Mus musculus: one gene and its partners. The protein of the gene in region 4 interacts with the protein of the main gene of each other region in a pairwise test. Links are inferred from orthologs where the notes say so. Each region holds a gene or a part of one and is shown on either strand. Other genes may lie near its edges.

The links.
Region 1: the proteins of Snca (region 4) and Csnk1d interact in binary tests that used the Homo sapiens proteins (3 or more experiments, as listed by UniProt). The link is inferred for Mus musculus from reciprocal best matches to the Homo sapiens genes SNCA and CSNK1D.
Region 2: the proteins of Snca (region 4) and Arfgap3 interact in binary tests that used the Homo sapiens proteins (3 or more experiments, as listed by UniProt). The link is inferred for Mus musculus from reciprocal best matches to the Homo sapiens genes SNCA and ARFGAP3.
Region 3: the proteins of Snca (region 4) and Bcl2l1 interact in binary tests that used the Homo sapiens proteins (3 or more experiments, as listed by UniProt). The link is inferred for Mus musculus from reciprocal best matches to the Homo sapiens genes SNCA and BCL2L1.

Annotation. Positions count from the first base shown.
Region 1 is NC_000077.6:120,980,666-120,985,233, forward strand, and holds part of Csnk1d (casein kinase I isoform delta), read right to left. Parts: intron 2,679-4,568; coding exon 2,568-2,678; intron 1-2,567. UniProt on the Homo sapiens protein: Essential serine/threonine-protein kinase that regulates diverse cellular growth and survival processes including Wnt signaling, DNA repair and circadian rhythms. It can phosphorylate a large number of proteins.
Region 2 is NC_000081.6:83,346,892-83,352,216, reverse strand, and holds the start of Arfgap3 (ADP-ribosylation factor GTPase-activating protein 3), read left to right. Parts: upstream 1-1,969; 5' UTR 1,970-2,067; coding exon 2,068-2,136; intron 2,137-5,325.
Region 3 is NC_000068.7:152,827,918-152,832,142, forward strand, and holds the start of Bcl2l1 (bcl-2-like protein 1), read right to left. Parts: upstream 2,801-4,225; 5' UTR 2,469-2,800; exon of another isoform or gene 2,270-2,468; intron 2,204-2,269; exon of another isoform or gene 2,186-2,203; 5' UTR 2,074-2,185; coding exon 1,510-2,073; exon of another isoform or gene 530-1,509; intron 1-529. UniProt on the Homo sapiens protein: Potent inhibitor of cell death. Inhibits activation of caspases. Appears to regulate cell death by blocking the voltage-dependent anion channel (VDAC) by binding to it and preventing the release of the caspase activator, CYC1, from the mitochondrial membrane.
Region 4 is NC_000072.6:60,825,588-60,830,711, forward strand, and holds the start of Snca (alpha-synuclein), read right to left. Parts: upstream 3,418-5,124; 5' UTR 3,137-3,417; intron 2,041-3,136; 5' UTR 2,015-2,040; coding exon 1,894-2,014; intron 1-1,893. UniProt on the Homo sapiens protein: Neuronal protein that plays several roles in synaptic activity such as regulation of synaptic vesicle trafficking and subsequent neurotransmitter release.

The DNA of each region.
Region 1 (4,568 bases), on a different chromosome or scaffold from region 4:
CTTTAATCTATTTTCCTGACTGGATTTTGGTCTGGTGAAGTGCCTGGGTCATAATCCTGAGGCTGAGTGTCCAGGTTTCAGTCTGTATCCTAGAGAAAGCCCACCATCTTGCCTTCTGTAGCACCCACTGCACAGTGACCACACAGAACCGCAAGCTGGCTTTTCGCCCAGCACGGCAGCTCTCAATCAGACACCGTGACACCACGGTCTCCCAGCGCTTCAGCCAATCATGCTTTCCTTCTTGGTTTTTTTTTTTTTTTTGCATAGCCAGAGCCAAGGTAAACAAGATCTAGACAACCAAAGCAGCACTTGTTCCTTTCAGAAGGCAGCAAAGTGACCTATACCACCTACATACAGAAAAACATGACACTTGTCAGGGAGCAATACCTTGTGGTTTCTGAGCAAAGTGCACCCCCCCCCCCCCATCTAGTCTCAGATAATTAAAAACTGCTGTAACTGTGCATCCTTTTCCTGTTTCCTAAAACAGAGACCTGCAGGACTACACAGTAAGTAGGCAGCAAGAGTAAAACCTGACCAAAGCCAGAACAATGTTCAAAGGCCAAGAAAGGCTGCCACCCACTTCTCAATCTTGTGTGGATTCCAGGCATCTAGAGAAGGGATATGGGCAAGTGATTAAGGGCCCACACAGTGAGTAATGCTACCCAGCAGTAGGTACCCTGCACTATCCACAACTTTATTCTCCAATCATAACCTGGGAGGGCAACTGACACAGTGCACAAAGAGCAGTAACCAGGGCTGGTGAGATGGCTCAGTGGGTAAGAGCACCCGACTGCTCTTCTGAAGGTCCAGAGTTCAAATCCCAGCAACCACATGGTGGCTCACAACCATCCGTAAGGAGATCTGACTCCCTCTTCTGGAGTGTCTGAAGACAGCTACAATGTACTTACATATAATAAATAAATAAATCTTTAAAAAAAAAAAAAAAAAAAAAAAAAGAGCAGTAACCATAGCACATGGCAGGGATGCTGGAACCTCGTGCCTCTCTGGAGCCCACTATGCTCCTTTCTGACCACTATCAGGCTGCAGCACCCTTAGGCACTCTAGGCTAGCACATTTTCAGAACTTATTATAACCCCTTCATGCATTAAGCTTAATTCTTATGCTGTTTTGTTCTACTCCACTTGTTACAAAAGCTAATGCCCTCACGAAGACTGTCCTACTGAGGATGTGCCAAAGGGCAGGCGTACAGGACTGGGACTCTGCTGACCTCTTTTTGAGAAAATAAAGTTAAAAATAAAACCCAACAAAACGGAAAAGGATAAAACAACAAAAGAACCAAAGAGCACATGAAACACATACAGATGCAGAGACACACAGAGAACTCCCAATTAACACACAACACCAGAAACCATAAAACATAAGCAAAAGATCTGACAGGAAAAGCAAAAGAAAAAAGAACAAAAATGTCCAAACAAATCATTATGAGACAAGGAACCCAAAAATGCCATTGAGTTCATGCTGTCTTGTTCATCTACTGCTGGGCATGACATTTATCCTTAAGAGTGGCTTGTTTTGTATAACTGGTGATACTCTGTTGGAGATAGCTTCTGGTTTAGGGATGGTCGCTTGTGTCTACTTCCTCTCTTGGGGCTGGGAACCCATCTGGATTAGGCCCATAGACAGTCTCTGTGAGTTCATATGTGCACCAGCCCTATGTTTGGAAGGTATGTGTGGATGTCACCAGGTATTGTTCATCTACCTATGGCCTCCTTTGATTCTATACCCAGGATAGGATACAATGGACATTAAGGGAATACAATGGCCACTAAGATGGACACACAATGGCATGCAGCTACTGCCTTAGACATTTTGTTAGAGAAAGTTGGTTTCCAGGAGAGGTAGAATTAAATTGCTTTTGCTGAGGGAGGGCAACAAAACATCAAACCAACAGTTTCCCTTTTCCTGCTGAGGCCAATAAAGAGTCTGTCACATGGTGGGGGGGTCACATGGTCACATGGTGGGGGGCTCTCCTCCCTATTCCAACTATCACAGCACCACAGAGGCTTCTGTGGTTTGTTTGTTTGTTTGTTTTTCAGATACAAATCCTGTCACAAGCAGGCTCCTATCCTAGGAGGTGGGGTTGGGTCTCATGGTCTTGAAAGCCTCAAATTAGAGCTCCTGTTTCATCAGGCAAACTACTTAGTACTCCAAGGTCTTGCAGTAAAGTTTTACAGAACTGAGAACAGTGACTTAGCTGGGAGTCAGAGAAGTTATGTTCAAAACTCCTATCCAAGAGAAAACTGAAACTTCAGAGTTTTATGAGACTACCCTCAAGTTCTAAGGAAAGCATGTGACCCAGAAGAAGCCAGCTAGCAGGAAGCACTGTGCTGTGACAAGGAGCACCATGTTTACTTTGAAATTTACACAAAATCCATCTTTCAAAGACATTATCATTTAATGGGAAGCTAATAGGGGGAGCTCTTAAGCAAAGCCCATTAAGTCTGCTTCCTCTGGGGTGTGAGGTCTGCTCTATCTGTAGGCGATGTATCTGTAAGCTATGTATCATCTGTAGGCTATGGTAGACATGAACTGAACATGAACCTTACCTCCTCCCTGCATCATTTTGTAGATCTTGCTCTCAATGTGGAGCTGAGGATGTTTGGTTTTGACACATTCAAGCTTGATGGCAACTTCTTCTCCCGCAGCAATGTCCGTACCTTACAAACAAACAAAGTTACATATATTATTCTGTGTCTACCACATAACCCAAAGCTTTTGGGTTATTTGATATCCATTACATCTTTGTGAGGCAGGAACAGTGCTAGGGATGGAATCCAACACCCTTGCACATGGCCAAAACCATGCCACTGAACCACACCACACCCTACCCCTTATAGTACTGGCTTCCTAAGACGGACTAAATGATAGTGCTTTGTACTTCCTATTAAGAGAAGGTACTGCTGGCTGACCAACACACAAAAAAACTATCTTTATTCAAAAACATGTAAGAAAACATCTTTGACATTCTACCTTCCATTTTTACCTGTACCCATTGTACCCACCAGCTAGTCAATATAGCTGCAGGCCCCATTCCTTCTACCCACTCAGGGCTAACTAAGACAGAGAGCAATGGGATGCTTCTCTGTGACGGTTTGATAGGCCTTTTGGAGCGTGCCTGAGTCTCCCAAGAGGAGGACAGCTGAGTGTCCCCCTATTCTCTCTCCTCCCGATCTCAGGCCAGACAAGCCTGACGTCTACCCACACACCTCAACAGTTTCTCACCAGTGGTTCTAATGTGGACACAATCATCTCCAAACAAACTACCATAGGCTTAACAAAGACCCTCAACTAAACCAAGGGAAAACTCTCCACTCCTTTTTGTAGATCAGACTGGCCTTGAATTCAGACTGACCTACCTCTGTCTCTCAAATGCTAGGATTAAAGGCAGGTGCCACCCTCAGCCCCTTGGGGCCACAGAGTTTTTGTTAATTTGTGACGATGTTACGATAACTAGGGCTGTGGAATTTGGAGGTAAAGACGGTGTTATCTGTAAGCATCCCTTTCATGCTTTACTCTAAAAGCTCCCACATAAATGTTCCTCAGTCTACCTGGTCCAGGCTGCTTCGGAGTTTCCCTGCTTCTGCATGGTACATCCAGGACCTAACATTCCACACAGCCCTCTTCCTCGACAGGTTGTTTCTAAGTGGAAAGCAGTTCTATACTCCAAGGACTGTAGTTATTTGAAAAAGATTTGTACTTTTCTTTTCTTTTTTTTTTTTTAAATAGAGCCTGATACAACCAAGCATGACCAGGTTCTGTGCTGGGTAGAGAAGCTGTGGACTGAGAAGCCTGGCTAGCTCTCCGTGACTCAATCTCTTTGTTAACTGAGATGGGAGGGGTATGCAAGAGTTTCACAGGGAGCCGAGGAATGAGTCACTTAGGTGGCCTATAGGCATAGGGACAACCTAAAGCCAACAAATTGTGTCTGCTGCCACCCAAGAATCATAGACAAGTCATTTTGGTCTGTCAGATGGCTGGCTGCTCTGACCACACCTGGGCCAAAAGCCAATCTCCGATGCTGCAGATCTGTAAGAATAACAGGAATGCCACTGACATATCTAGGTGGAAGAACTTCACTTACTACTCCACAAGAAATCTTTGGGAACACTATAGTAAGAAGCAATATATCTTATTCTTCTTGCCTACAGTCAGGGCAGCTTATCCACTCACACAAGAAATGACTTCATCTAGAATGAATCTGCAGATGAAAAATGACCTCTGACTACTTTTAAGGACCTGGACTCTGAGCTGAACTTGCCAGCCAGGAGCTATGGTGACTCACTTCACCAGTTATGTCAGCAACTCCCTGAACCCCCAAAGCAGTACTCTCTGGGACACCATACCACCCTTGCCAAATGGCAGGTCCACAGGGACAAGACAAGTTGGGGCCAACCAGCCTAGCAGATCAGGACCTTCAGGAAGGTGGAAATGCCTCTAGCTTTACTCTTCTGTGGCTCCTATAGCTCATGCCATGACAAATCACTCCTGCAGTACTCTCAGCCTTGGGGACAAATGACCAATGACAACTCCAAAACATAATGTGAATT
Region 2 (5,325 bases), on a different chromosome or scaffold from region 4:
GGCTGGCCGAGTCACAGATGGAGACCCTTCAACAGCACCGTGTGTACAGCTGGCAAAGTGGCCTGGTGCTTTAGTTTCTGATCCTGATACTTCCTTGGATCCATCACATTTCAATCCCAGCCTAAACAGCAGACAGGGTGGGGGTCAGGGTTTCCTTAAAAAAAATTATCTAGGGTCTTATGTACTTCAGGCCTGCCTTAAATTCACTATGTAACCAAAGATGACCTTGAATTCCTGAGCCTCCTGCTTCTACTTCCCAAATCCAGAGATTAGAAAGGTTACATCACTATACCAGTATAGCTGTTTTCCTAACTCCTATGAACTATCCATATATATATATATATTTTTTTTTGAACGAAGATAGGAAGATCATTCAAATGGTGAGGGTTGTCTGCAGCAGCAACATGCTGTTCCTAAAGACTGCACATTTCCTAACCTTGGAAAAGGCCCAGCTCTGGGTTGATGAATACACAGCCTGAGGCATCTACCAGGCCTGAGATGGCAAACATGGCACTGGCGGGCCTTGCCTTTCCTCTTTTTTTCTCCTTGCTAAGAACCGTTAGATTACATTCCTAAAGCTAGCCACCAAGGTTTGTTACGCTATTTGTCCACTTCCTGAGGCTAACATACTAAGGTCCAGCTATCAAAATCCACCCCCTACCTTGGTTCACCTAATTAGCATGCCCCATAAAATAAACTTATCCTAAAGGGGTTTCTTCTTTTACCTTTATGAACTGCCATTTGCCAATACGCCAAGGCTGTCTCTTCTCTATCCAGAAGCAGTCCTTTGTCCCTCTGGAGCAAATAACCCGTCCCCCTCTCCCTCCTTTTCACTTCTTCCTCTTGCTCTATCTCCTGTCTTTGTCTCTTATTCCCTGCCCTTTTGTCACTCTGCTGAGAACTTTGTGTGTCTTGTGCCAGTTCCTGTCCTTGTACAGCCTATATGAGGTCCCAACTTGACACCAAGACCGTTTTCAGAACATCCCTGAAGCTGCAGTGCTGCTCTGGTCAACATATTTCATCTCCAACTCCTTCATACAGGTGAATGCTAGGAAGTGCCTACAGCAGCCCTGCTGGGAAGCAACCAGTTGAACTGGGACAGAAGCTGGGGCTTAGCACTTGATACCAAAACCTGTTTTTCTTCTATTATGCTCTACCTAAGGTCATGTTTGCCAGCTGCTCCACCCTGACCGCTGTAAAAGAGGCACCTGCTCCCAAGCTCAAACCTTCCAGCTACTAATATTATCCAAGGTTTAACTGGAGCCCCAAGCACTAAACACAGACTTGTTTCTGGTCTTTCTAGACTTCTCAGTTCTGACCCTGATAGAACTTGTTGCCTACAGGCAAGCACTCTCTCTCCGTGAACAGAACAGACTTTATAATTACAAGATTATCAAGCCAGTATGGCTTGGTGCAGACCTGTAATCTGAGCAGCAAGACGCTAAAACAGGAATATCTCCAGTTCAAGTCCAGCCTTGGACTACACAGTGTGCTCTAGGCCAGCCTGGGTTTCCCAGATGGGAGAGAGAAAAATGGGACAGCAGTTTCCTGTAGGTTATCACTCAGGGCTTGACTTTAGCTGAGAAAGAGTACAAACACACACTACTACTATGCAGGATCCATGAGGATGAGACCTGCTGGCTCTCCCATCCTGAGGGATAGGTGTGAGACTGGCCACGGGCCGGCAACGGTATGCTGGTGAGTCCGGTGGGTAAGCCCGATGCTCCCTGCGCAAAGCCTGGGGTTCCTATCCCACACTGCAGGACCCTAACTAACGCTGAGATCTGGGGAAGGTTTGCGGAGGGGTGGGAGTTGTCCGAGCGTCCGCGCATGCGCCTGCCGCGCCCGACTTCGAAATTGGAACCCGGAGAAACCAGTGGCGCCGAGGGACCTCACCGAGTGAAGGAGAACGGCGCGTGCGCCCGCTTGTGGGCGGAGCCTGGGCGCGGCAGGGGCGGGGCTTGTCGTCACGCGCAGCCCCGCCCCTCGGTCTCCGGGAGGCGGCAACCGCTACTCCTTGTCTCTTCCCGGTTGTCGGGGACTGCTTCACCTCAGTTCTCAGTGACTATGGGGGACCCCAGCAAGCAGGACATCCTGGCCATCTTCAAGCGCCTGCGCTCGGTGCCCACTAACAAGGTAACGGCCGCAGGCGGGCTTGGGACCCCGCGGCCCGCCGGACCCCGGTGTGGCCGCGGCCGTGGGAGGAGCCGCCCGGCCTGTGACACGTCGCACTGTGGGCCTGGCAGCCGCCGCTCCCCAACCTTCGTCAGCAAGGGGAGGAAAAGGGGGCGCCCACCAGGGGCTTAGCGCCTGGGGCACAGGGACATGGGCATCCGGAGGATGTCCAGGACTAAAAGGCAGAGAGCCTGGGGTCACAGGACTGGGGCATGGACATCTGGGATGTCTAGCATCCTAGGGCAGAGCGTCTGGGGTCACAGGGGGGGCTGGGACATGGACAGTTGGGGTGTCCGCCACCAGAGGCCAGAACACCTGGGGATAGACAGAAGACTGGGGCATGGACATCTGGAACAGGAGACCAGTGCATTTCATGGCAGAGAGAGGACTGGGGTATGGACCTCTAGGAGTGTCCAGGTTACCCAGACGCCAGACTACCTGGGGGCTTAGAGAGAAGGCTAGTTCATAGCATCTAGGGGTGTCTAGGGGTCTGGAGAACAGAGCACCTTGACCCAGAAGCACAGACATGGTAGGGTGGAGGAAACAGATGTTGGAAGTGTGTAGCTGGGCTCTGAGAAGGCTGGTGAGGCAGAGTTCACTCCTTCTGGCCTCTGTGAACAAAGGTAAAAATCCCAGCCACCTAGACCCAGGGGTCAGAACTCTAAGTGGTGCTAAGTTCTGGGAAAGAAGGGCTTCTCCCCCCACCATGGACCTTGTCTTGAGTGTTCTTCAGGGCTGGGGACCTGTTGGATTTTTGTCACCATTGTCCTTCGGTGGCAGCCTGTTTCCCAGTCCAGTAGAGCTAAGGTTCTCTTCCCTGGTTGCCAGCTCTCTGGGTTCCTGAGGAAGCTCACTAAAACTCACGTTCATCCCTCTGTAGGTTGAGGTCTGTCCCTACAATTTTTTTCTTCCCCTTATGTGACCCCCCCCACACACACACACACACAGACCCCACCCCCAACCACTGGGCCTCATAACTTTTAGCATGTGGCTGGCAGTGTTGTTTTGATACACAGGGTTAAGGTGTCTACTTCCTTAGGATGACGGAGTAGGGTGGAACCCGAGGAGTGCAAAGGGCTGTCGTGTCACTGTGGACTCTCCCCACCCCTCTCCAAGTTCCATCTGGTTGCCACCTTCACCTCTGAGGAACCATCTGTTAATGGGCACAGCCGTGATTACAGAGTCCTGCATGGCTGGCATAGAAAGTTCCAACATGTCACAAAATTCAGGCTTTTTTTTTTTTTAATGTCTTGATGGTGGAAGGGAGCCCTAGGTTTTTATAGCCTTATGATGAAGGAAATGGTTAAATGGGGGTGATAATGTCAGGTGGGTATAAGGAAGAAGAGCTGGCTTCCAGCCACTGCATTGTCCAGTGTCTGTCACTTGCTGGTTTCTTGTTTTTTGTTTATTTTTTTCAGATTTAGATTGATCTGTGTGTAGCAAGGACTTGCTTCTTACCACACAAGGTTGGATCTCCAGCTGGCAGGCTGGGAAAGTGCGTATGCTGCCACTTTCTCTGAGTTGCACGCCAGTGTGTATTCCCTTCGAATGTATCAAAAAGGCCACTGCTAAATAACAAAACAAAAAAGCAAGAAGCAACAACAAAAAAAAGGAAGACACTCCTTTTACATCAGAAGTCCCTGTCATCAATACCAGCAGACACTTTTAAGGAGCCCACGTGGGCTTGCTTGTGTATTAAAATGTTAGTTGAGTACAGTAGCACATGGTGCGACCCCAGCACTTGGGAGGTGAAAGCAAGAAGAACAAGAGTTCAAGGGCAGCCTCCGCTACAGAGCAAGTTCTAAGCCAGCCTTAGACTACATTAGACTACTTCTCCAAAAAAAAAAAAAAAAAAAGTAAAATTATTGTCCAGCTGGCCATGAGAGTACATACCTAGAGTCCCAGCCCTTGGGAAACTGAGGCGGTTGGATTTCCAATAGTTAAAGGCCAGCTTGAGGTACGTAGTGGTTTTTTGATTAGTATGTGTTACAAAGCAACACAAAATGCCTCAAAATGTAAACACCCAGACACACACGAAAGCCTGGTCAGACACTAAACCACATGAATGCAGCCCTCCCCCTTTTTTCATTTTATTCTGAAGAGCACACCTATAGAAACTTTATGTTCTATAATATGATATTTTTTAAATTATTGATTTTAAATATATGAGTCCTCTGTCTCTGTCTTCAGACACATCAGAAGAGAACATTAGACCCCATTACAGATGGTTGTGAGCCACCATGTGGTTGCTGGGATTTGAACTCAGGACCTCTGGAAGAGCAGTCAGTGCTCTTAACCACCGAGTCATCTCTCCTGTGATATGATTTCTAAAGCAAGATTCCAAAGTAGCTTCTGGTCATGTCTCATGGCACTGGCTTTCCTTTATGGTTGTGGCTTGAAGCCATTGCTGACTGGATGGATTTGACGTGAAAAGTGATGAAACTAGTTTCTGGTTTTGTGAGATGGGGTTTCTCTGTGTATCCCTAGATGTCCTGGAATCCACTCTGTAGACCAGGCTAGCCTCAAACTCACAGAGATTTGCCTGCTGCTGCCTCTGCTTCCGCAGTGATGGGATTAAAGCTGTGCCCCACCACGCCCTGCTGGTGAAAACTAGTTCTAATGACTAGAAGGACTGGGCAACAATAAGCTCCATCATTCTAGTGTAGTGCTGGGGTTTGAACCTAGGACCTGTGTACTCTAAACAGGCACTTTGCCATTGAGCAATACCTTCAGTTCGTTCTTCCTTCCTTTTTTCGTTTTTTCTTTTCTTTCTTTTCTTTTCCTTTCTCTTCTTTTCCTTTCTCTTCTCTTCTCTTCTCTTCTTTTCTTTTCTTTTCTTTTCCTTTCTTTTCTTTTTGAGACAGGTTTTGCCTATGTAGCCCAGGCCAGCTTTGAACTCACTATGTAACCCTAGGCTGGCCTTGAATTTTGCAATCCTTGCCACAGCTTTCTGAATGACAAAATTATGAGATGAGGATGGCTTCAAGCCACCCAGTCATCATGCCTAGCTTAACAGCACTCTTAAACTGCTTGAGTTGAGGCAGGAGGATTGCCAAATTCAAGGCTAGACCATATAACAATGTTCTTTCACAAATGAAAATTAAAAACAACAACAACAACAAAATAAGTACACTATGTAAAGACTCATCT
Region 3 (4,225 bases), on a different chromosome or scaffold from region 4:
AGGTCACAGCACAAACCAACAGGAACTATTTAATCATTTATCTCCCCAGGGAGTTCATTTACAGATTAGCTTTCAAGTCTGGCAACCCTTAGCTCAAGGGAACCCACCTTTACCTCAGTCAACTCTACTCTGGTCATCTGGCCTCTACTGACAAGTGACCTCCTTGCCTTTACAAGAGCTACTGGAGGGAAGAAAGGTGAAGTTTCAAAGAAATGGGAAACTAGAGGCAGGATGGGGTCCCAGGGAAAACCTGGAGGTCTCTTACCCTGTAGTAAAGCAAAGTGCTTGCCCCGCCCTAGGCCCAGCCTATGGACAACTAAATTCTTGACATTCCGGAGTCCATGGTGCATGGCCCCTTCCACCTCACTTCCTTCAATGGATGACTTATTTTCCAGTCTGTCCATTTTCTACATATTCTAAGGAGACAGAATACGTCTCAGAAGCCGCAATATCCCCTATTCCAGAATGCAGTTCACTCTGAAGGGTAACAAACGCCTACCACGACAGCTACTAGTAATGGAACTCTCACCTCTATCTCACCCTGACTGATGAGGTGGCGAGCAGGATTCTGAAGAAAAAGCACTCATTGTGTCAGCCTCTGCTCTCTTTATCTTTGGGTCACAATAGTCTGTTAGAAACTAAGGCTCTAGAAGGTAAACCAGCCTGTCCAAGGTCACATGGCCAGTTAAGTGACAGGGCCAGGACTCACACCCACATACAGTCTGTCACCAAATCTTAATTTCCTATGGAGCCTCACAAACCAGGTTCTTGCTCTGCCAGCAAACAGTGCTTCAGTAAAGAGGCCCCAGGGCCCTGACCAGAAAAACACTGGGCAGAGCAGCTGGAGATCCCCAACCAATCCAGGGCAGCGAGGTGCAAAGTCCTGGGGCTTGATATGGCACAGGAAGGGCTCTACAAACAAGCCAACCATGCAGAAAGTTGCACACTTTGGGGAAAAAGAACTTAGGAGCACAGCACAAACACCATTGGCCCAGACCACCCTCCTCTAAAATCAGACAATACTCAGCCACTCTAGCCAGTGGGGGCTCCTGACTGGCCAAATGGTCTGAGTACCATGCATGCAAGTACACAGCAGCCTGAGGTTCCAGTTCTGCAGTTTCCTGGGTATTATGTTCATCACCCCAGCCAAGGTGACCCATTTCATGAGAGTGAGCAGAACGCGGGGAGAACTTGCTGCTCTCATAGGTTTTAAGCCAAGTAAACACATAGGCTGTTTTTCTTTGCTGAGAAATTGGAACAAAACTATGAAACTGTGGGGCCACAAGGGTAGCCAGGATGAAAGATACAGGTCCCTTAAAAATTGGGTCATCTATATTTCCAAAGTTAACCTCTTGTATTAAAATGAAGCCAGGAAGGTCTCCTGAACAATCGGTATCTTTAACAACCATGCCATATAACAGAAAGAGACCAAAAAGGGCAGTTTTAGGGATGTTCACAGAGAAGAGAGACACAAGCAAGGGGCGGACACACAAGGGGCGTGGTTCTTACCCAGCCGCCGTTCTCCTGGATCCAAGGCTCTAGGTGGTCATTCAGATAGGTGGCCATCCAACTTGCAATCCGACTCACCAATACCTGCATCTCCTTGTCTACGCTTTCCACGCACAGTGCCCCGCCAAAGGAGAAAAAGGCCACGATGCGACCCCAGTTTACTCCATCCCGAAAGAGTTCATTCACTACCTGCTCAAAGCTCTGATACGCGGTCCCTGGGGTTATGTGAAGCTGGGATGTTAGATCACTGAACGCTCTCCGGTACCGCAGTTCAAACTCATCGCCTGCCTCTCTCAGCGCTTGCTTCACTGCTGCCATGGGAATCACCTCCCGCGCATCCAAACTGCTGCTGTGGCCAGTGGCTCCATTCACGGCCGGGCTATCCGCCAGGTGCCAGGATGGGTTGCCATTGATGGCACTGGGGGTCTCCCTCTCTGCTTCAGTTTCTTCTGGGGCCTCAGTCCTATTCTCTTCGACATCACTAAACTGACTCCAGCTGTATCCTTTCTGGGAAAGCTTGTAGGAGAGAAAGTCGACCACCAGCTCCCGGTTGCTCTGAGACATTTTTATAATAGAGATGGGCTCAACCAGTCCATTGTCCAAAACACCTGCTCACTTACTGGGTCTGCTCTGTGTTTAGCGATTCTCTTCCAGGATCCAAAGCCAAGATAAGGTTCTGAAGAGAGAGAGAGAGCTTCAGGAGAAAAATTTAATATGCATGTCATTTACCTTACAATATTCCCATTCCTCCTCCAGGTACCAGAATTGCTTTCTTTGTGGCTCTTATGAAGGTCTGAGTCCGGGTTCTAAGGGACTTCAATGAAGTCAAATTGAAAGGACCAGCCAGCTTTGAATTGTTTCATCCGCCTCTTTTTACTACAACCACCCACCCCCTTTTCTCCGAAATGCCTTTCTCCAAAAGTCACCCCCATTGGCATATCCCCACCACCACCACCTACATTCAAATCTATCTCCGGCGACAGCAAGCAGGTACAACCCCCGGAAGGTCTTTTGTATCATAGGTCGGGGAGGAGGTGGTGGCTGGGTCGCCGGTAACTCAGCAAAAAAAAAAAAAAAAAAAAAAAACCAGCCCCGGCCGGAGGGATCATGCGACCTGGTAGGCAGCTCAGAAGGCGACAGAGGAATTGCGAAGCTTAGGAACCTGCCCCCTCACAACCTGGTTCCTCCATCGACCAGATCGAGGGCGGCCTCTCTCTGCTCCGCAGGCTCCAGCCACCCGGGAGCCCAACCCCCTCGCTCTAGCACGCCCCTTGGCTCTCCGCCTCCTACTGGGAGTCAGGAGAACTCTCCCGGAGGTATGGGTTTAGTGTAATTTCCCCCCACCCCTCCTTTCTTTCTTTCTATTTAAGTACCAGCCCTAGATGAGGCTTCCGAAACCCTAAAGGGACTTCCAAGTGAATCTCAAGGTTTCGCGCAGGGACGCGGACAGGGGGAAGACAGCCTCGGATCTGTGATCTGATTTCGGAAAGACCACTCCCGGGTTTTTCCGAGAGGCGTATGCTGGAGACCCCCCACAAACACCGCTAGTTGTCTTTGAATTCCCCAAAGGCCCTGGACACAGCACTGGGGGACGGCCAGGTCCTCCATTCCGCGCCCGGACACAATGGCCGCCGGCACCCCACGCACAAAGACGGGGTGAGAGAGAGGCACTGAGCCCCGCCACCGGCCAGGAAGAAGGGTCGGGGCTCCCACAGTGGAGACCTCGTTTTTCCTGAGGCCGAGCCCAAGGCGGCCTTCTGGAGCCCCCTGCAGGGCTCGAGGGCCGGAGGCCGCTCCGCGCCGGAGCCCCGGGTGGGTGGGCTGAGGCCTCGCTTACTGCTCGCGCTCCCCTAGGCCGGGTACCCGCCGAGCCACCGCCCCGTTGCTAGGCAACCGCCCTCCCTCAGGGGCGCCCCCTAGACCTCTCTGGAAGGAGGGGTCTCGCCCCCGCGGCCCGCCCCAGCTTAGCCAATCCGCGGGTCGAGTCGGCACGGAAGCGGGACGGCAAAGGCTCCCATTGGGCCCAGCGCCTGTCAGGCACAGGGGAGGCGGCGCTCTCACCTGCGAGCCCCAGAGAGCCGTGGGGGGCCACATCCCCCCTTCATAGGCCCAGTGGCTTCCAGACACTAGGGCGTTTTGCGGCTGGGAAGTATGCCGCGGACTTAAGCCTGCCTACCTGGCTGACTGCTCGTGCTGAATCTCCCGGAGAAGCCGGCCTCAGTTTCCCCTGAAGAGACCGGGGGAACTTGCAAGCGCAGCCACTTCCGGTGCCGCGGCAGCGCGCGCGAGCCCGAGACGCAAAAGGAGTGCGCGCCAGAAAGGGACTGGCATCGAGACATGGGAGAGCAGCGACCCCTGGCGAGCGATTTGAGGAGTCTCAGGCGCGTGGAACGTTTATGGTTCACATTCCTTCAATCTAGTTCCTTCATCCATCTGTCCCTTTGTATACTACAGAAAAAGTGCTTTTTCCTTTCGATGTCGGTGTCCAACATCGAACAGGTTTCTCAACTTGTGTATTTCCCCCCTCACTTTAAAAATAGACAGCAATATTGACCTTTCATTGACTGTGTATCAGGTACTACTTGAAAAGCCTGAAGAATAGAAAGCCCTTAGTTTGGTTTGTTGAAGACACAAGGCAAGGCAATGTCTCTGTTTTTATGAAGACTTATACCTTACGGGTGGAGACACCCAACTAGGAAAATACACAAACAATGTA
Region 4 (5,124 bases):
TTAATCTTTGAAAAATATAATCACTTTATTTGCCCAAACTCAAAATTAACAATAAAAACAAAGAAGTGTTCTGCTTGACAAAATCCATTTATTATCCAGAAAGAGTAATATACTAAATTAATATTCAACAACTTCTAAATTTGCTTTAAATTAGTGATCTACAGATATGTTTCTTAAGCAACTGAAGTAAAAAAAAAAAAAATCAGTCACAAGCCTGTAGTTGTGGAAGAATTGAGTTTTTCCCCAAATCTACAAATTACTGCTTTTATATTCTGAATTCTATCTAAAACATTATACTTCACAATTCATTAAAAAAAAAACACTCTAAAATTAGCTCATTGACACCCTTCTCTTACAATACTCATTACAAGACTTTCTGAAAGGATGTTTTAAGTAGAAAAAGAGAATTAATTCAATGTAAAATTATTCTGTGAAGAATTAGGAAAGGTGATCTGCTAGAAACTTCAATGAAAAGACACATTCATGAAAATGTTTACAAGTATCAATTCCTCACTGATCGTTTGGAGGGTCAGCATGGCTTCCCCCGATTGGTACTCTGGGTAGCATCTGCATCACTTTTGCCACCTGTTCTGCTCCTTTTCAGCCTGAATGTTTACCCTGAGTCTTCCACCAAGAGAGATGCCCTCCTAAGAAGGTGGAAACAGTGTTCACAGGAGGAAAGAGAGGTAGATGAACCCTGCAACTGTGCTCCCATGTGCACCTGTGTCTCTGCTGGGGATAAGCATGTGTGCATGGGTGTCTATTCCTTCCATGAAAGTACTAGAAGGGATTTGTAAAGTTACAGCCAATTTAACACAGGGAAAGACAGAGAAAGGGAGTGTTGGCCTTCCTTTCAATGTGTACAGTCAGGCAGAAAATGGCACTAAATATCAACCTCTTACTGTTCAGCATGTATGATCTCTGACAGGTGAACTAAACAAACATTTCTGAAGTTCCTTAAGTCCCGCTGTTCCCACTGACCAAGTGATCCCTAAAAGGAGATCCACCAAAGAAGACTTGCTTTCTTTCTTCTATTTGAGGGTCAAAGGAGTTGTATTTTCACAGTTGTAAAATAAAATTATGCAAAACTATTGTTTAAAGCTTTATAATTTATTAAACTTAGCAGGTATTACCTATAGTGATGATGAAAGAAATCAAAGTCCCATGAGTACTTGTGGCTCACTTTCTTTCTTTCTTTCTTTCTTTCTTTCTTTCTTTCTTTCTTTCTTTCTCTTTCTTTCTTTCTTTCTTCCTTCCTTCCTTCCTTCCTTTATTTCTTTATTTCTTTGTGTGTGTGTGTGAGTGTGTGTGTGTGTGTATGTGTGTGTGTGTATGTGTGTATGTGTGTATGTGTGTGTGTAAGAGAGAGTGTGTGTGTGTGTATTGTGTGTGTGTGTGAGTGTGTGTGTGTGTGAGAGAGAGAGAGAGAGAGAGAGAGAGAGAGAGAGAGTGTGAGTGTGTGTGTGTGTGTGTGTGTGTGTGTGTGTGTGTTCTCACATAGTTCAGGCTGGCATCAAATTCTCTGTGTAGCTGAAGATGACCATCAACTCCTGGTCCTTGGGCCTCCACTTCCCAAATGCCACCAGGCTTACTGCCATACATGTCTTTGATTCATAAGCATATTCTTGGTTATTTTTCATGGGTTGCCAATTTTTAAAATTCAGTGTATTCATACACAGAAACAGAAAACCAAATAAAAAACCTACATAAATAACAAGATTAATGAATCTAAGGACAGAAAACATTGTCCCTGTTTGTTTCTGAGAGCTAATATGCAGGTTCATATTCTCTCACCTCCACACAGCTGTCACTCTTCTGAGAAGCTGTGATGCACACGAATCAGACACCACACACCAGCCACCCCAATTCATTAGTCACAGTGTCACTACCTACCTACATAGAGGACTCCCTCTTTTGTCTTTCCAGCTGCCTCTGCCACACCCTGCTTGGTTTTCTCAGCAGCAGCCACAACTCCCTCCTTGGCCTTTGAAAGTCCTTTCATGAACACATCCATGGCTAAAGATGTATTTTTGCTCCACACTAGAGAATACAGAATACATTTTGAATTAGAAAATTTGGGTAAAAAAATAATAATAATAAGGTTTAAAACAGCTAGAGAAAGAAAGGAAATTGAGGGGGAAAAATCAGTATGCCTTCCCCCAAGTCCTGGTGTAAGTGTGATTTCTTGGGTGGGGGGATGTGGGGGTGCTGGGCACAGTGTTGATTGATTGTTGAGTTATGTCACTCAATACTAGGAAAAAGTCATGTCACTTAAGGATGGGATGGATCTAGTTTGATCATTCGACTGCTCTTACATACATATTTCAGAAGAAGAGTTGCAGAAGGGGAGGTGGGCATCCTCTACCCCATCAAGTTCCCAGGGCCCAAAGGTTACATTCAAAGTAAAAAGACTATCTAGAAAAGGAACATGGGAGGTGGGCGTACAGAGATGGAGTGGGGGCAAGAGGATAAAAGACCCAGAGAGGAGTCAGTCTTTGGAGAAGGAAGGGAGGGGAACTGTTTAATCTAGAAGTAGGGAACTGCTTGAAGCCCAGCCTTTCTAATCTTGCAAGACCTTCTGCCCACCACTAGCTCTTTGCCTGCTATCTGCCCAGAGCAGGCGCTGTCCATACACTTGAGCAGTCTCACTTGAGCACCACCCAACCAAGAAGCTCTGTCCTCAGCTGGAATCCTCTAGAAGACCCTGCACCCCATGCTCATTAACCCTTTATCACCTGTTGCCTACTGTCCTCTGCACTTCTATTAATCATGGGCCAAAGGCACCCTTCTTCCTCTACAGAAAGAAGCTGAAATGCCTGGGGTTGGAGCATGAAAGTTGGATGCTCAAATTCCACCCAATGCCCAGCACTAAGCTTCCACCATCCAGCACTCAACATGAAACACCCTAGCGTTTCCGCTTGAAAAAGCAGATGCCACAGGCAACCTGGCCTTTCCCTCGGGCTTTGACAGGATGGAAGGGCATGTCTCCAGCGAAAGGAAAGCCGAGTGATGTACTTTCCACGCACTGGCCCAGTCCCCACCGCCAAAGCAGCTGTAGTTGGTCTTCTCTAGGCGTCCCGGCTCTTTGCTCCGGCTAGCTAAGATCCCCAGAGCTGCCCCATCTACAGGTACTTACCGGCTCCCTAGGCTTCTGAAGAACTCCGATTCTTCCTGTTTTCCCCAATCTAATTTCAATGAAAGAGGCAAGGGCAGGCAGGGGCAGGGGGAACACCTGCTGGTCTCCTGCCGTCTGCTGCCTGCTGCCGGGCGCTCTGGCTCCCTGGCTCCTTCACGTCGCCCCCGCAGCTGATTTGTCAGCGCCTCTCCCCGCCCCTCGCCTGCCTCGTGCCTTCGCTCCTCTTCCTAGGGAGGGGACGGGTTGGTTGGAGGTGCGGTGCGTGAGGGCTGTGGGTATCTGGAGCACATTCCCCCGGATGGAAGGAAGAGAGGACGGCCTGAGCCTCCCCTCGAGTTCAGAGGGCCCTCAGTTTTATCGTGGCTGAACTTGAGCTGGCGCCTCTCCTGCCCCACCCCCCTCCTTCCCTGCCTCAGTCTGTTCCCAGTTCCTCTAGGCGACCCCCTCCTCCAGGACGAGCCCAGATGCCACACCAGAGAGCTGGACCGCCTGAAATGGTCTGTGTGCGGAGCCAGGCAATGGAGAGGGAGCACACACCCTTGGGGTTGCTTTTGTTCACACAGCTTAAGATTTCCATTTGTTTTTACCCCGGAGGAGTCTAAAAGGGTTCTGGGTGCAAAGGGGAGCCGACTAAGGAAGAGTTACAGGTCGAAGAAGCAGGGGGAGGCTCAGCAAATCCTCATTCCCACTCCACTATCACCATTTTCTTTTCCACCAATCAGCGGCTGCCAGACGCTGATTTTTTTTTCCCCATCTGTGGAGCAAGGAATAAATATCCCCCAACCGTCGAAAACCAGCTGCCTCAAGGCTTTTTTGCACTTGAGAAAGTGGCTTACTATAGAGTTACAGGATAGGAAGGTAGCGGCTGTGGGATTCACCCTCTGGGACCATCACAGGCAGTTTCTTCCTTAGTCCCTACTTAATGGCAGATTTTGCACACCTCTTACCTTTCCGACTTCTGGCTGCGTGGAGCTCCAGCGAACAGACTCTTCTTCCAATCCAAGCACACGCGCAGATAGATGCACAGGCTTTGAGACAATTTCTGTGTTACTTAACACGTTCCCACTTCTCTCTGAGATGAGCAGAATACCACTGTTTTATAGCAGAGTGGATTTGAGTGCCAAGCTCCTCCCCCAGCAGAGTGCCTTGCTTTTCCTTTCTTGTATTCTGAACTTGTGTTGGGCACTGGAAGCTAAATCAAGCGTTTACTGTATTAAAAGGGGGGGGGGGTCGTAGGAGGGAATGCTTTCTCTGATCCTTGAAGTCAGTTGACTTCTGAATCCTGAAAAATAAATAAATAAATAAATAAATAAATAAATAAATTGAAGTCTAAAAAAGCATTTGAAACAAGGGACAAGCAGCTTGTTTGGCATGCTATAAAGGAAGGAGGCAGATAAAACCACAAATGCAGAGTACAAGTAATGTGACAGAAATTAACTGTTTAAGCAACGCCTTCAATTCTTATTCCCTTTAAAAATCAACCTTCCTACACACTAGTGGCACATACCATGTTTACTTGAAATTAAAGGAAAAGGTGGCACCTCTGCAGTAGATAGGGTTAGATCCTGGGCTCTAGCATCCCCATCCTGCCAAGTTAGGACACCTGTCCTCAACCAGCCAGGTAAAGTGACATATAAATAGTGAAATACTAGAAATGGGAGTAATTCAATGTGGCCACGTTAAGAAGAGGAACAGAGGTTTAGTGCCCCAAGTTCATCTTGTTTAGATAGAGGTCAGGATGTATGTATGACTAAGCAGTAGGTCAAAGTGTGCTTCCAGCTACTGTCTCTGTCTCCGCTCCAGTCTCTTCTGCAAGGAGGTCTGACTAAGTATCTGATATCTGATATTTCTTCCTGGGAGACATGCTCACCCTGTAATTGACACAAGGCTTCAGCCTTTTCCTTCCCTCAGCAAATTCCTGGAGGACTTCCAATTTCTTGGGGTCTATTTGTCAATAGTCTAAAGCCAGATGAGAGGACACAAACGTT